Linked DNA regions of Macaca fascicularis. The protein of the gene in region 1 purifies or fractionates together with the protein of each later gene. This does not show direct contact. Links are inferred from orthologs where the notes say so. Each region holds a gene or a part of one and is shown in the gene's direction. Other genes may lie near its edges.

Region 1 (6,635 bases):
TCAGCCTCCCGAGTAGTTGGGATTACAGGCATGCACCACCAGGCCCGGCTAATTTTGTATGTTTAGTAGAGATGGGGTTTCTCCATGTTGGTCAGGCTGGTCTCGAACTCCCGACCTCAGGTGATCTGCCCACCTTGGCCTCCAAAAGTGCTGGGATTACAGGTGTGAGCCATTACACCCGGCCGAGATAAATGTCTTTTAAATTATCTCCATCAAAGACATAACCTTTATAACATTTTGATGTATATATTAACCAATTTTTAAATACATAATACATTTATATAAATACGTATTATTGTGATCATGCTGCACTTACATCTTTATGTTCTCCTTATACTGTAAACATTTTGAAATATTTTACTAACAACATTTGTAATGACCATTCTTTCTTTCTCTTTTTCTGCCTCTGATAGAATGGTCTACAGAGTAATTCATGAACTAAAGATACTTTAGAGGCTGGGCACAGTGGCTCATGCCAGTAATCCCAGCACTTTGGGAGGCCAAGGCGTGTGGATCATGAGGTCAGGAGTTAGAGACCAGCCTGACCAACATGGTGAAACCCCATTTCTACTAAAAAAAAAAAATACAAAAATTAGCTGGACGTGGTGGCATGCGCCTAGAATCCCAGCTACTCAAGAGGCTGAGGCAGGAGAATTGCTTGAACCCAGGAGGCAGAGGTTGTAGTGTGCCGAGATTGCGCCTCTGCACTCCAGCCTAGGCAACAGAGCGAGACTCCATCTCAAAACAACAACAACAACAACAACAACAAAAGATACATTAATACTATAGCCCACATGTGGAACATTAAGAAAATAATTGTTTTTATGTTTATGCTTTATACCTGTTGTTAGCCCTACCTCTTATTTCATGGCTTCACATTGTAACATCCCTTTACCGTATTTTTTGAGGACTGTTTTGGCAGAATGTGTGAAATCTTAGGCAGAAGTATTAGCCAAAAGTCGGAAGAAAATCAGATTTTTATTTCAAGATTCTGTTAATGTTACCCACTCCCTTCTGTTACTCAATCTTATAGTTACAGTTCTCTCTTTCTCTTTTTAGAAAAGAAAAAAAGAGGTCCCTCAGGATTTGCAGATGAAACAGTATTGCTCTTTAGAGATATCCATCTGGCTGTTAGATTCCTTTTTCCAGTTTTCAGAGGTGGATGAGGGCATTAGAATCTTGAGTATTGACCATTTCCTTATGTATGCCTTTGACAATAAATAAAATAGATGCATGACAATTATTTATAAGTTGATTGATTTTTCTTGTCATTTAAATCATCTTCAATAATAGAGTTGGTAGAGCTATCCCATTTTTGAAATTATTTTCTTTTGTCGATAACTTTTTGTTACCAATATGTACACTCGCATTGTTGACTCTCCATATAATACCTTAAAAACATTTTTTCTTGTGGTAAGATATACATAACATAAAATTTACTATGGTAGTTTTTTGTTTGTTTGTTTTGTTTTTTAAGACGGAGTCTTGCTCTGTTGCCAGGATGGAGTGCAGTAGAGCAATCTCTTACTGCAGCCTCCACCTCCCGGGCTCAAGTAATTCCCCTGCCTCAGCCTCCTGAGTAGCTGGGACTACAGGCACATGCCACCACGCCAGGCCTATTTTTTGTATTTTAGTAGAGACGGGGTTTCACCATGTTGGCCAGGATGGTCTTGATCTCCTGACCTCGTGATGCGCCCGGCCCATGGTAGTTATTTTTAAGTGTTCACTTCAGTGACCTTAAGTGTGTTCATAATGTTGTGCAACCATCACCATGTTGTCTAACCATTAGCACCATCTGTTTTGAGAACTTTTTTTATCATCCCAAACTAGAATTCTATACCTGTTAAATAGTCCCCAGTAATCCTCCCTCCCCCAGTCCCTGGTAATCTCTAGTCTACTTTTCATCTTTTTGAATTTGCCTGTTTTAGGTTCCTCATATAACTGGAATTATGTGATATTTGTCCTTTGTGTCTGACTTATTTCATTTAGCATAATGTTTTTAAGGTTCATCTGTGTTGTAGCATGTAAATACAGGTTGAAGCATCCGTTACCCAAAATGCTTGTGACCAGAAGTGGTTTGGATTTCAGATTTTGTTTTTTTTGATTTTGGAATATTTGTAGATACTTAACTGGTTCAGCATCCCTAATCCAAAAATCCAAAATCAGATGGAGCCCAGTGGCTCATGCTTGTAATCCCACCATTTTGGGTGGCCAAGGCAGGAGGTTCGCTTGAGCCCATGAGTTCAACACCAGCCTGAGCAACGTAAGACCCTATCTCTCCAAAAAAAAAAAAGATGAAGGAAAAAAAAAATCCAAAATCAAATGCTCCAGTGAGTATTTCTTTTTAGCATCATGTCAGGCTCTAAAAGTTACAGATTTTGGAGCATTTTGGATTTCAGATTTTTGGATTAACCTGCATTAATGCTCAACCTATATGAAATTTTATTCCTTTTTATGGCTGAATAATGTTCCACTGTATGTATATACTACATTTTGTTTATCCATTCATCCGTTAACAGACACATAAGTTATTTCTACATTTTGTGTATTATAAATAGTGCTGCTGTGAACATCGGTGTACAGGTATCTGTTTGAGTCCCTGTTTTTGGTTCTGTTGATTATATATTTAGGAATGGAATTACTGATCATATGGTAATTCTGTGTTTGACTTTTTGAGGAACTACCACTGTTTTCCACAATGGCATCACCATTTTACATTCCCACCAGCAATGCACAAAGATTTCAGTGTCTGTATCCTTGCTAACACTTATTTTCCGTTTTTTGAGTGTTTTTGTTTTGTTTTTTAATAATAGCCAATTCTAATGGGTATGTGGTAGCATCTCATGGTTTTGATTTTATTTTCCTGACGATTGATGATGTTGAGCAGCTTTTTAGGTGCTTAGTGGCCATTTGTCTGTCATCTTTGGAGCATTGTCTTTGGCAAGTCCTTTGCCCGTTTTTAAATTGGATTTTTTGTTGTTGTTGAGTTGTATATAACACCTTTTTTAAAGTAAAAGGTGCACTGTAATAATCCAGACTGTGTTTCTCCCTTCTCAGGATTCCTACAGGAAGCAAGTAGTAATTGATGGAGAAACCTGTCTCTTGGATATTCTCGACACAGCAGGTCAAGAGGAGTACAGTGCAATGAGGGACCAGTACATGAGGACTGGGGAGGGCTTTCTTTGTGTATTTGCCATAAATAATACTAAATCATTTGAAGATATTCACCATTATAGGTGGGTTTAAATTGAATATAATAAGTTGACATTAAGGAGTAATTATAGTTTTTATTTATTGAGTCTTTGCTAATGCCATGCGTATAATATCTAATAAAAATATTAAAATAATTTTTGTGAGGTAGGTAATATCCCTGCTTTATAAATGAAGTTCTTGGGGGATTAGAGCAGTGGAGTAGCTTACTCCAGACTGCATCAGTAGTGGTGTGCTGGGATTCAAACCTAGGCCTGTTTGACTCCACAACCTTCTGTACTCTTGACTCTTCTACACTGAAAAAGCAAGACTTTAAACTTTTTAGATGCATCATTAAAAAGGAAAACCATAAAAAAGAATATGAAAAGGTGATTTGAGATGGTGTTACTTTAACATTCTTAAAAGCAATCGTGTGTATAGTGTAGAATTGCTTGGATTGGATAAAGAGTGGCATTATACATTTTAAAAAATAAAAGTTTTGAAAGATTGAAGAATTCGGGCATTACAGTTTTCTTAAATCTGACAAAGCTGCATAAAACTATTAAAATAATCATTATTGTACTATTTTATATTCTGCTTCTTTGAGGGTTTAGTTTTCCTAAAACTACATATTAGGCAAATAAATTACTCACTGGCTATGTCATGTAATAATGAGTTAGCCTAGTTATAAGAAGTTTAACATTTTATTTAAGAACATTGTTATAGCATGTTTACTGTGTAGTCTAGTAATAGAGCAGAAGACATTCGGGTGGGTGGTAGTGGTAGTATTTTTATAGAGGAGTTACCAAATTTCACCTCTATTATCCAAGCTTACCCAGCTAATAGTGGAGGAACTGGGAATTTGAGCCAATTCTGACTCTGTTGTCTGCTCTGCTCCTTCTTTTGTGCTGCATCTTTGAAAGTCACCTAAAATTGTGAGGGAATATAATTTCACCCCAAATTTAGAGTTTATGCACTTGTTATATTGAAAATGATTAACATGTAGAAGGGCTTTTAATGGAATAAGTGGTGTAGTAACTTCAATGTTTTCTACCTAGAAATCAAAATCTACTTGTCAACTTTGTTTTTTGAGACAGTAATATGAAAATTATGTTAATGCTTTAATTCAGGTTTTTGTAAAAATATTTTTTATCTTTACGCATTTAACATATGTTTCTAAAATTATAGTCTGTTATATAGCACTTTGGGTCTAGAATTTTTCAGTAGTTTCTGTTTTACTATTATGATCTACCTGCATATTAACCTATTAGGTTATAGTTTTACTATACTTCTAGGTATTTGATCTTGTGAGAGAGAGACAAGGTTTCTCTTTAAAAAGGTAAAGAAAAAAATAATTAGTAAAGGAAGGAAGGAAAATTTGGTATAGTGGAAACCAGGAATTACATTGTTTTCTTTCACCCAAATTTTATGACAAAAGTTATGGACAGGTTTTGAAAGATACTTGTGTTACTAATGCCTCTGCTATAACTTTTTTTTCTTTCCCAGAGAACAAATTAAAAGAGTTAAGGACTCTGAAGATGTACCTATGGTCCTAGTAGGAAATAAATGTGATTTGCCTTCTAGAACAGTAGACACAAAACAGGCTCAGGACTTAGCAAGAAGTTACGGAATTCCTTTTATTGAAACATCAGCAAAGACAAGACAGGTAAGTAACACTGAAATAAATACAGATCTATTTTCTGCACAATCCTAACTGTTATGTCGTTTAATATATCAGTTTTTCTCTCAATTATGCTATACTAGGAAATAAAACAATATGTATTTAGTAAATGTTTTTGTCTCTTGAGAGGGCATTGCTTCTTACAGTGTCCTTGATACTGCTTTTGGCTTTGGTTTCTTTCTACATTGAAAATTTCTCTTCAATTCTGAGCACATGTTAACATTTAGAATTCAAGAGATGTGGGGATTTTTTTCCCCACTGTTGTGTGTTTGTATATATACAAACACACACAAAGAACAAGGCAACACATTTTTGAATTTTCTATTTCAGTAGTACTTTTAAACCATTATGTCGTGTTTCTAGGTTAAATGTTGTTGCATTTGAAGAATTTTATTTTGGCAGAATTTTTTTGAGGATATGTTTATTTTTGGAGAAAGGTCTCATTAAAGAAAGAAAATACCCAGAAAGCAAATAGAAATTCTGTTATTCATTTAATGAATTTTTCTGACATTAAATGAATAAAAAAATTCATTTAATGAATTTTTTTGAGGATATGTTTATTTTTGGAGAAAGGTCTCATTAAAGAAAGAAAATACCCAGAAAGCAAATAGAAATTCTGTTATTCATTTAATGAAATTTTCCAAAAATTGTTGTCAGAGGGAATTTTGTTTCAAAAATCATCTTTGTTTTAAAAATGACTTTTTCTTTAGGTAAAATAAAATAATTTCAGTTAGTGTTATTTAACCTGTTTGTATGAAGAGTTTAACATACAGGAAATGAATACATAAAGATAGGAAGGAATTAATTGTTATATATAGTCATATGTCTCTTAATGACAGGGATACTTTCTAAGAAATACATTGTTAGGTGATTTTTGTCATTGTGCAAACATCATAGAGTATACTTACACAAACCTTGGTGGTATAACCTACTATACACCTGGGATATATAGTACAGTCTCTTGCCCCAGGGATACAAATCTGTACGGTGTGTAACTGTGGTAATGACTATAGGCAATTGTTAACACAATGGTAAATTTTGTGTGTATAAATATACACTTGGGCTACCCTAAGTTTATTTTTTTTTTAAATTTCTTGTTCAGTAATAAATTAACCTTACTTTCCTGTAACTTTTAAAATAAACTTTAAAATTTTTCCTAACATTTTGACTTTTGTAATACAGCTTAAAACACACATTATACAGCTATACAAAATTTTTCTTTCTTTGTATCCTTATTCTGTAATAAGTTTTTTTCCATATTTAACATTTTTTATTTTTTTTTACTCATTAAACTTTTTGTTAAAAACTAAGACATGCATGCACATTAGCCTAGGCCTACACAGGGTCAGGACCATCAATATCATTGTCTTCACTTCCACATCTTGTCCCACTGGAAGGTCTTCAGGGGCAGTAACACACATGGAGCTGTCATCTCCTATAATAACTTTTGGAATACCTCCTGAAGGACCTATCCAAGGCTGTTTATAGTTAACTTTTTTTTTTTTAAGTAAATAGAAGGAGTACACTAAAATAACAATAAATAGTATGGTAAATACATAAACCAGTAATAGTCACTTATTACCATTATCAAATATTAAGTATGGTGTATAATTGTAGGTGCTATACCATTATACAACTGGCAGTGTGGTAAGTTTGTTTACACCAGCATCACCACAAACACGTGAGTAATGTGTTGTGCTACAATGTTAGGATGGCTATAACATCACTAGGCAATAGGAACTTTTAAACTCCATTATAATCTTAT
Region 2 (7,092 bases), on another chromosome or scaffold:
CTGGTTAAGATTAGGGCAATGTCAATGTGTTAGGGGTTAAACGAATAGTCCAAGATTCCTCTCAATTCTTTTTTTTTTTTTTTTTTTTTTTTTGAGACAGAGTCTCACGCTGTTGCCCAGGCTGGAGTGCAGTGGCGCGATCTTGGCTCACTGCAAGCTCCGCCTCCCGGGTTCCCGCCATTCTCCTGCCTCAGCCTCCTGAGTAGCTGGGACTACAAGCGCCCGCCACCGCGCCCGGCTAATTTTTTGTATTTTTAGTAGAGACGGGGTTTCACTGTGGTCTCGATCTCCTGACCTTGTGATCCGCCCGCCTCGGCCTCCCAAAGTGCTGGGATTACAGGCTTGAGCCACCGCGCCCGGCCTCCTCTCAATTCTTAAATGCCCCCTCATTTTACCTTGAAGCACATCTTTTGTCTTTATTTATTTATTTGTTTAGATACTAGGTCTCACTATGTTGCCCAGACTGGTTTCGAACTCCTGAGCTCAAATGATCCTCTTGCTTTGGCCTCCCAAAATGCAAGGATTATAGGTGTGAGTCACCATGCATAGCATCTTTTGTCTTATTAAAAATTTAGAATGTAAGGCAAACACTGATCATACTAGGCTACCAAATTGCTATTGAAGGCTTTTTTCTTTTTGAGACGGAGTCTTGCCCTGTCGCACAGGCTGGAATGCAGTGGCGGGATCTCGGCTCCCTGCAACCTCCGCCTCCAGGGTTCAAATGATTCTCCTGCCTCAGCCTCCCCAGTAGCTGGGATTACAGGCGGATGCCAGCACACCCGGCTAATTTTTCTATCTTTAGTAGAGACAGGGTTTCACCATGTTGGTCAGGCTGGTCTTGAACTCCTGACCTTGTGATCCGCCCACTTCGGCCTCCCAAAGTGTTGGGATTACAGGCGTGAGCCACAGCGCCCGGCGTATTGAAGACAATTTTTAATACTCGAAACTATCACATAAAATAAACATCATAGCATTGGTCATATAAAATAAGCAACTTTATATTAGTCATTTCCCTTTAAGAAACAGATTAGAACCAAAGCAGTTAATTATCTTGGACATGACATAAATTCTACCTAATAGGAGACTTTTAATACTCCAGAATTACTCCTTTTCCCTCCACTGCACACTATAGAAAAAATAGTTCCACCGCAGCCCCCATTTACCTTTCCTTTAGAACCCGATCCAACAGCGACTACTGTTGCTTGCAATACTTTTCCTTGAGATTTTTCTGGAAGCATAATGCCTCCTTTGGTTACAGTTTCAGCAGCACTCCTTTCAACCAATACTCGGTCAAAGAGTGGAAGAAACTTTCTAAACGCTTGTCCTGCCTGTAGGAAGAGAAATGTTTTGAAACAAAAACTAAATGTAATCATATTATCAACAGGCAACGCCACCGTGTTGTATACATCTCAACACGTTTTGGCTTCGAAAGTTAACACCAAACCTCAGCTTATTCGTTAAGGAAACGCATTTGAATGTACTAACCAATATTCCAAGTTTAATTCCCGATTCCTTACATCTGTTAAGGGTCGTTGTCGCTCCTCTGGTGAGCAACCAGACCAGCTTTAAGGTCAACCTTAGTTTATCCAAGGTCAAATGTTTTCCTTCTTCAGGGTTTTCCAGAAATTTTCAAGAAACGCTGGGTCAATCTCCCTGCCTGGCACCATGCTTTTTACCCAAGATATTACACATCCACAAAGGCCCTGCAGAGCAGGTGGGACGCTGCGCTTGCATCCGGGTTCCCGCCACCTGCCTTACACACCCGCAGCACACGCGCGTGCAAAGAGCCCCCGGAGAAGAAAAGGGTCGGGCAGGCCTTGCCGCTCCAAGGTGCCGGCGGGCGCTGGTCACTGAGTGGCCACCAATCCCTCCCGCCTAGCCCAACAAAAGAGGGGCGTCAGTGATCCCCGTACGCCTCAGACAGGCCCGGGCCTGCGGGCTTCGGTGCCACGCGGGACTCACCATGACTCCCTCCGCCTCAGACTCGTACTCTGCTCTAGTGTAGCGCCGCAAGGAGAGACTCGCGGCAAGGAGAGACTCGCGGCGCAGCCCTGGCGACACGTGAAAAAACCGCCCAGCGCGCAGGCGCGCTCGCCCCAACCCCCGCCGCTAGCCCCCTCGCCCCTCCCCGCGAGAAAGGGCGGTCGCCCCGACGCGCGCCGCGATTCGCCCCAAGGGCCCTGCGCAGGCCGCTGACGCGAAGACTCGGAGGCGGAAGAAAAGAGGAGCTGTTTCTAGGCTTTTCTAGGCGCCCAGCCGAGGTGAAAGAACTACCCCTTCGTCCCCTCCCGGAAATGACGCGATTTTACCCTTGACCCGTAGGGAGCGCGGCACTTTCCGGAAAGTTCTGGAACTGAGCGCGGCCCGGGAACTAGCCTAAGCCGGCGGGAGAGGGCTGAGCGCGCTAGCACACCCTGCGCGGGTAGGGAGGGGCGGGGCTCGCGCGCAGGGTGTGCAGATTGCAGGGGCCCGGCTGACGGGAAGGGGGTGGGAGCTGCCTGCACACGTGGTGCCCCGGGGCGGGGGGAGAGGCGGAGGGAGGGGACACGGGCTCATTGCCGTGTGCGCCCTGCACTCTGTCCCTCACTCGCCGCCGACGACTTGTCTCGCCGCGCGCACGCCCCGCCGCCGCCCCGCAGGTATGCGGCCTTCCCACGCCGCCTTCCCCGGCGCCTGCGACCCCCAAGTGGGCCTTCCTCCTCTGAGGTCCTGCTGGAGGATGCGGGCGACGACAACCTGGAGTTCTGCACCGCACCGCAGGCCCAGGCCCACGGGTCCAGGCCTCCCGGGTCCAGGCCTCCCGGGTCCATGCGGGTTCCATCACGTGCGACGCGGATCCTGGACCTCGGCTGGGCGCAGGAGGGACAACTCACGGGGATTGAATTTGGGGGATTGTAGCCACTTAGGCCCGCTGGTGCAACCCGCGCCTGGTCGACTTCGGGGAACCGGGGAGGGTGGTGTACGCGAGGGAACCGCTTTTTTCCCCCGCAGCTAGCTGGGATACCGCGCCTTCACTCTTGACCTTGCTGGGGGCGTTCGGAAAGACGTGGGCCCGCGCCGAGTGGGCCGGGCCGCCGCCCCCAGCATCGCGGCCTTGCTGGCTGCTCTGATACAGTAGCCTTGGGTGGATCCATGGAGATACTTTGCTGAGCTGCTTTTTGCACCGCCAGGAATACTTTCAGCTTCCCTGGTCACTGGGATTTGTAACTTGCCTCTCTCCGGCTGACTTGGTTTCTCAGGGGCCACAGTTGGAGTGGGTCTGCCCACAAGGCCGTTTTCGCGGTGAAAGATTAACTCGTTTTTGGCGGCAGGGATAGGTGGCCGTGGGGAAGGAGCTGCATGTGCTTTGTGCTAGTGCTATAGGTCAGGCGCCGGGGCGGCTCTTTAGCTTGCGGTAGTGGCTGATGTTCCGAAGCTGCGGCGCCTTCCGTCATTCAGGTGTAGTGGCTGGCAGAGGTCAGCCAGGCTCACCATCTCACGTTGCTTGCTCTGTTGCACAGGTGCGCATGTTTGTGCTGCAGCGCATCATAGGTGGTAGTACTGATTATCTATTTGCTTCCATCCCCAGAAATGCTTCGGTTACCCACAGTCTTTCGCCAGATGAGACCGGTGTCCAGAGTACTGGCTCCTCATCTCACTCGGGCTTATGCCAAAGATGTAAAATTTGGTGCGGATGCCCGAGCCTTAATGCTTCAAGGTGTGGACCTTTTAGCCGATGCTGTGGCCGTTACAATGGGGCCAAAGGTATCAGTATTTTTATTTTATTATAATTATGGTAGTATTAATAGCATTTTGCTCACAAATAGTCGCACTGAACTGTTGAACAGTACTTTCGTATCCATTTTTGAGAACTCAGTTTACATGTAAGAATTCTGAAGTATTGGTTAACTTTTTTTTTCTTAGACATGATCTTAAAGCTTAAACTGCTTCAGCCAGATTTTCGAAACTAGTTTGTTCAATGTGTGATGTAATCGGGTAGTAACATAGCTCAAGATGGATTCTTAAACTCGAGGTAGAATTTTGCTTGCCTAAGTTAAAATTTGGATCCTTTCTGAGTAGTTCATGCCAAGTGTAGAGAGAAGAGTTTAACTTATCTTCCATAATCCCTCAGGTATGTGCTTGTAGGTGCTAAATTTTTTTTTTTTTTTTGGTTTATTGTAAAATGTACACAACATAAAATTACCATTAAGTGTGCACTTTGGGGACATGGGGACATTAATTACATTTATGTTGTGCAGTCACCACCACCATCCATCTCCAAAACTTTTTATATGGGAAAATTGTAATTTTGTACTCATTATACAGTAGCTTCCCATTCTCTCCTCCACCTCAAGATGCTAGTTTTACCTATCGGTTTTCTGCTGTTCTCTTGTTCCGAAGCATATTTAAAATAAGTCTCATTTAATAGGGGTAATATTTTGAGGGGGGCTTTGAAGGTGGTGTGCGGTCAAGTGGTGCTTCATTTCAGTTTGAAGACAGTTCAGATATCAAGTGATCCAAACAACTGCATAAAACACAACATTTGCACACCTCACGAATAGAAAGTAGCAGCTTTAGTTCAAATCCAAAGGATGGTCAATAACTGTGCCATGGTTGAAGTTGTATGTTGAGTGAACTTGGAAGAGCACACTACTTGCCTTGATGGTTAATATTTTAAACGAATTTTAAAACAAGTCACATTGCTTTAAAAGATAACAGGCACTAACTAAAACTTAGGTATAAGTGATAGGAAGATTGTTTTATTCTTTGTCTTGTGTTCTTGTTCATTTTATAAGATGACAAATTTTAGTCCCTAGTATTTTAATCTTCTAAATTACTTAGTTCAAAATTATGCTCTTGGCAGAGAAACAGGTCATTCTGTCTGTAGACAAAGAATGTCGATAAACTTGCCCTTGAGATTCATGCTGCAAGACTGATAAAAATGACACAACTTATGTGGAGACTTTGAAGTAGTTGCTTTATTATGAAGACTGCTCATTTTTTAAAATATAAGTAATCCTTAGGGTATGTGTGATCCTGTTACATTTTTTTTCTTGTAGGGAAGAACAGTGATTATTGAGCAGAGCTGGGGAAGTCCCAAAGTAACAAAAGATGGTGTGACTGTTGCAAAGTCAATTGACTTAAAGGATAAATATAAAAACATTGGAGCTAAACTTGTTCAAGATGTTGCCAATAACACAAATGAAGAGGCTGGGGATGGCACTACCACTGCTACTGTACTGGCACGCTCTATAGCCAAGGAAGGCTTCGAGAAGATTAGCAAAGGTGCTAATCCCGTGGAAATCAGGAGAGGTAGGAATGTCTATTGTCACTACAGTGTTCTAAACTTCAGTGTGCTTTAAGGCATTGATTCCTTGGAGCTAAGGAGAGTGTCTGTTACTTTAGGAAATTGATCCTTCTCTCATTCCTCTTGGCCTGGAGAAATCTTAAACTGGGTTTTCCTTTAGCAAGTAGTGATTGAATGCCTGGCTGTATGGTGGGTAGGTACTGTTAGGTAATTTTGATGTTTTACTTAGTTGGTTTCTTTTGTTTTTAGAGACAGGGTCTTGCTCTGTAGCCTAGGCTGGACTGCACTGGAACTCCTGGACTCAAGCAATCCTCCTGCTTCAGCCTCCAAGTAGCTGGGACTACTACAGGCACTCACCACCATTCCTGGCTAATTTTTAGTTTAGTTTTGTAGAAAGTAAGATTGAATACACTGGATCATTCAGAATGTCAGAAAGTAATGTTTTTTGTTTTTTGTTTTTTGTTTTTTGAGACGGAGTCTCACTCTGTAGCCCAGGCTGGAGTGCAGTGGCCGGATCTCAGCTCACTGCAAGCTCCGCCTCCCAGGTTCACGCCATTCTCCGGCCTCAGCCTCCAGAGTAGCTGGGACTACAGGCGCCCGCCACCTCGCCCGGCTAGTTTTTTGTATTTCTTTAGTAGAGACGGGGTTTCACGGTGTTAGCCAGGATGGTCTCGATCTCCTGACCTCGTGATCCGCCCGTCTCGGCCTCCCAAAGTGCTGGGATTACAGGCTTGAGCCACCGCGCCCGGCAGAAAGTAATGTTTTCCTCAGTTTATTTTTTTTTATTTTTTTGAGACAGTCTCGCTCTGTCCCCCAGGCTGGAGTACTGTGGCGTGATCTACGCTTACTGCAAGCTCCGCCTCCCAGGTTCACGCCTCCCAAGTGAACCTCCTGCCTCAGCCTCCCGAGTAGCTGGGACTACAGGTGCCCACCACCATGCCCAGCTAATTTTCTTTATTTTTTAGTAGAGATGAGGTTTCACCGTGTTAGCCAGGATGGTCTCGATCTCCTGACCTCGTGATCTGCCTGCCTCGGCCTCCCAAAGTGCTGGGATTACAGGCATGAGCCACCGCGCCCGGCCCATTAGTTTATTTTTTCTTAATAGCACACACCGTGTTATTGGTTTGTGTTTTGTTAGTGCTTGTAACTGGAGTGCAACTTAATTAACAGATTTGCTCCTCAGCATGAACTTCATGGCAGTGTAGACTTAAATTCTAGTCCCATCTTTGTCATTTATTAGCTGTGTGCTAAGACTTGGTTTTCCTATCAGCAGAATTGCTGTGTATATCCAGCGTATGTTAGGGTTGAAACCAGGAACCCTCTTGTGAGTGAAGGTGGGGGAGCTATTGATAATTTTTTGTCAGAATTGGCATACTAATGTATCATTACCTCATATATTTCAATGTTTATGGACCAAGTGACTACACTTCACTAAAAGCAATTTTTTTTTTTTTTTTTTTTTTTTTTGAGACGGAGTCTCGCTCTGTAGCCCAGGCTGGAGTGCAGTGGCCGGATCTCAGCTCACTGCAAGCTCCGCCTCCCGGGTTCACGCCATTCTCCTGCCTCAGCCTCCCGAGCAGATGGGACTACAGGCGCCCGCCACCTCGCCCGGCTAGTTTTTTGTATTTTTTAGTAGAGACGGGGTTTCACCGGGTTAGCCAGGATGGTCTCGATCTCCTGACCTCGCGATCCACCCGTCTCGGCCTCCCAAAGTGCTGGGATTACAGGCTTGAGCCACCGCGCCTGGCTACTAAAAGCAATTTTACTGTAAATCACTAACAAGTATTAAGGTTATGAAGAGGACT

What was found.
Region 2: the proteins of KRAS (region 1) and HSPD1 purify together in Homo sapiens (affinity purification with mass spectrometry; 3 studies listed by BioGRID and IntAct, with this or other methods). This does not show direct contact. The link is inferred for Macaca fascicularis from reciprocal best matches to the Homo sapiens genes KRAS and HSPD1.

What each region holds. Positions count from the first base shown.
Region 1 is NC_088385.1:27,946,316-27,952,950, reverse strand, and holds part of KRAS (GTPase KRas), read left to right. Parts: intron 1-3,057; coding exon 3,058-3,236; intron 3,237-4,695; coding exon 4,696-4,855; intron 4,856-6,635. UniProt on the Homo sapiens protein: Ras proteins bind GDP/GTP and possess intrinsic GTPase activity. Plays an important role in the regulation of cell proliferation.
Region 2 is NC_088386.1:93,114,116-93,121,207, reverse strand, and holds the start of HSPD1 (60 kDa heat shock protein, mitochondrial), read left to right. Parts: upstream 1-2,108; 5' UTR 2,109-2,261; intron 2,262-2,332; exon of another isoform or gene 2,333-2,422; intron 2,423-2,580; exon of another isoform or gene 2,581-2,639; intron 2,640-3,568; 5' UTR 3,569-3,570; coding exon 3,571-3,744; intron 3,745-5,039; coding exon 5,040-5,292; intron 5,293-7,092. Other genes in the region: HSPE1 (10 kDa heat shock protein, mitochondrial), read right to left, coding at 1,164-1,328, 1,963-1,965. UniProt on the Homo sapiens protein: Chaperonin implicated in mitochondrial protein import and macromolecular assembly. Together with Hsp10, facilitates the correct folding of imported proteins.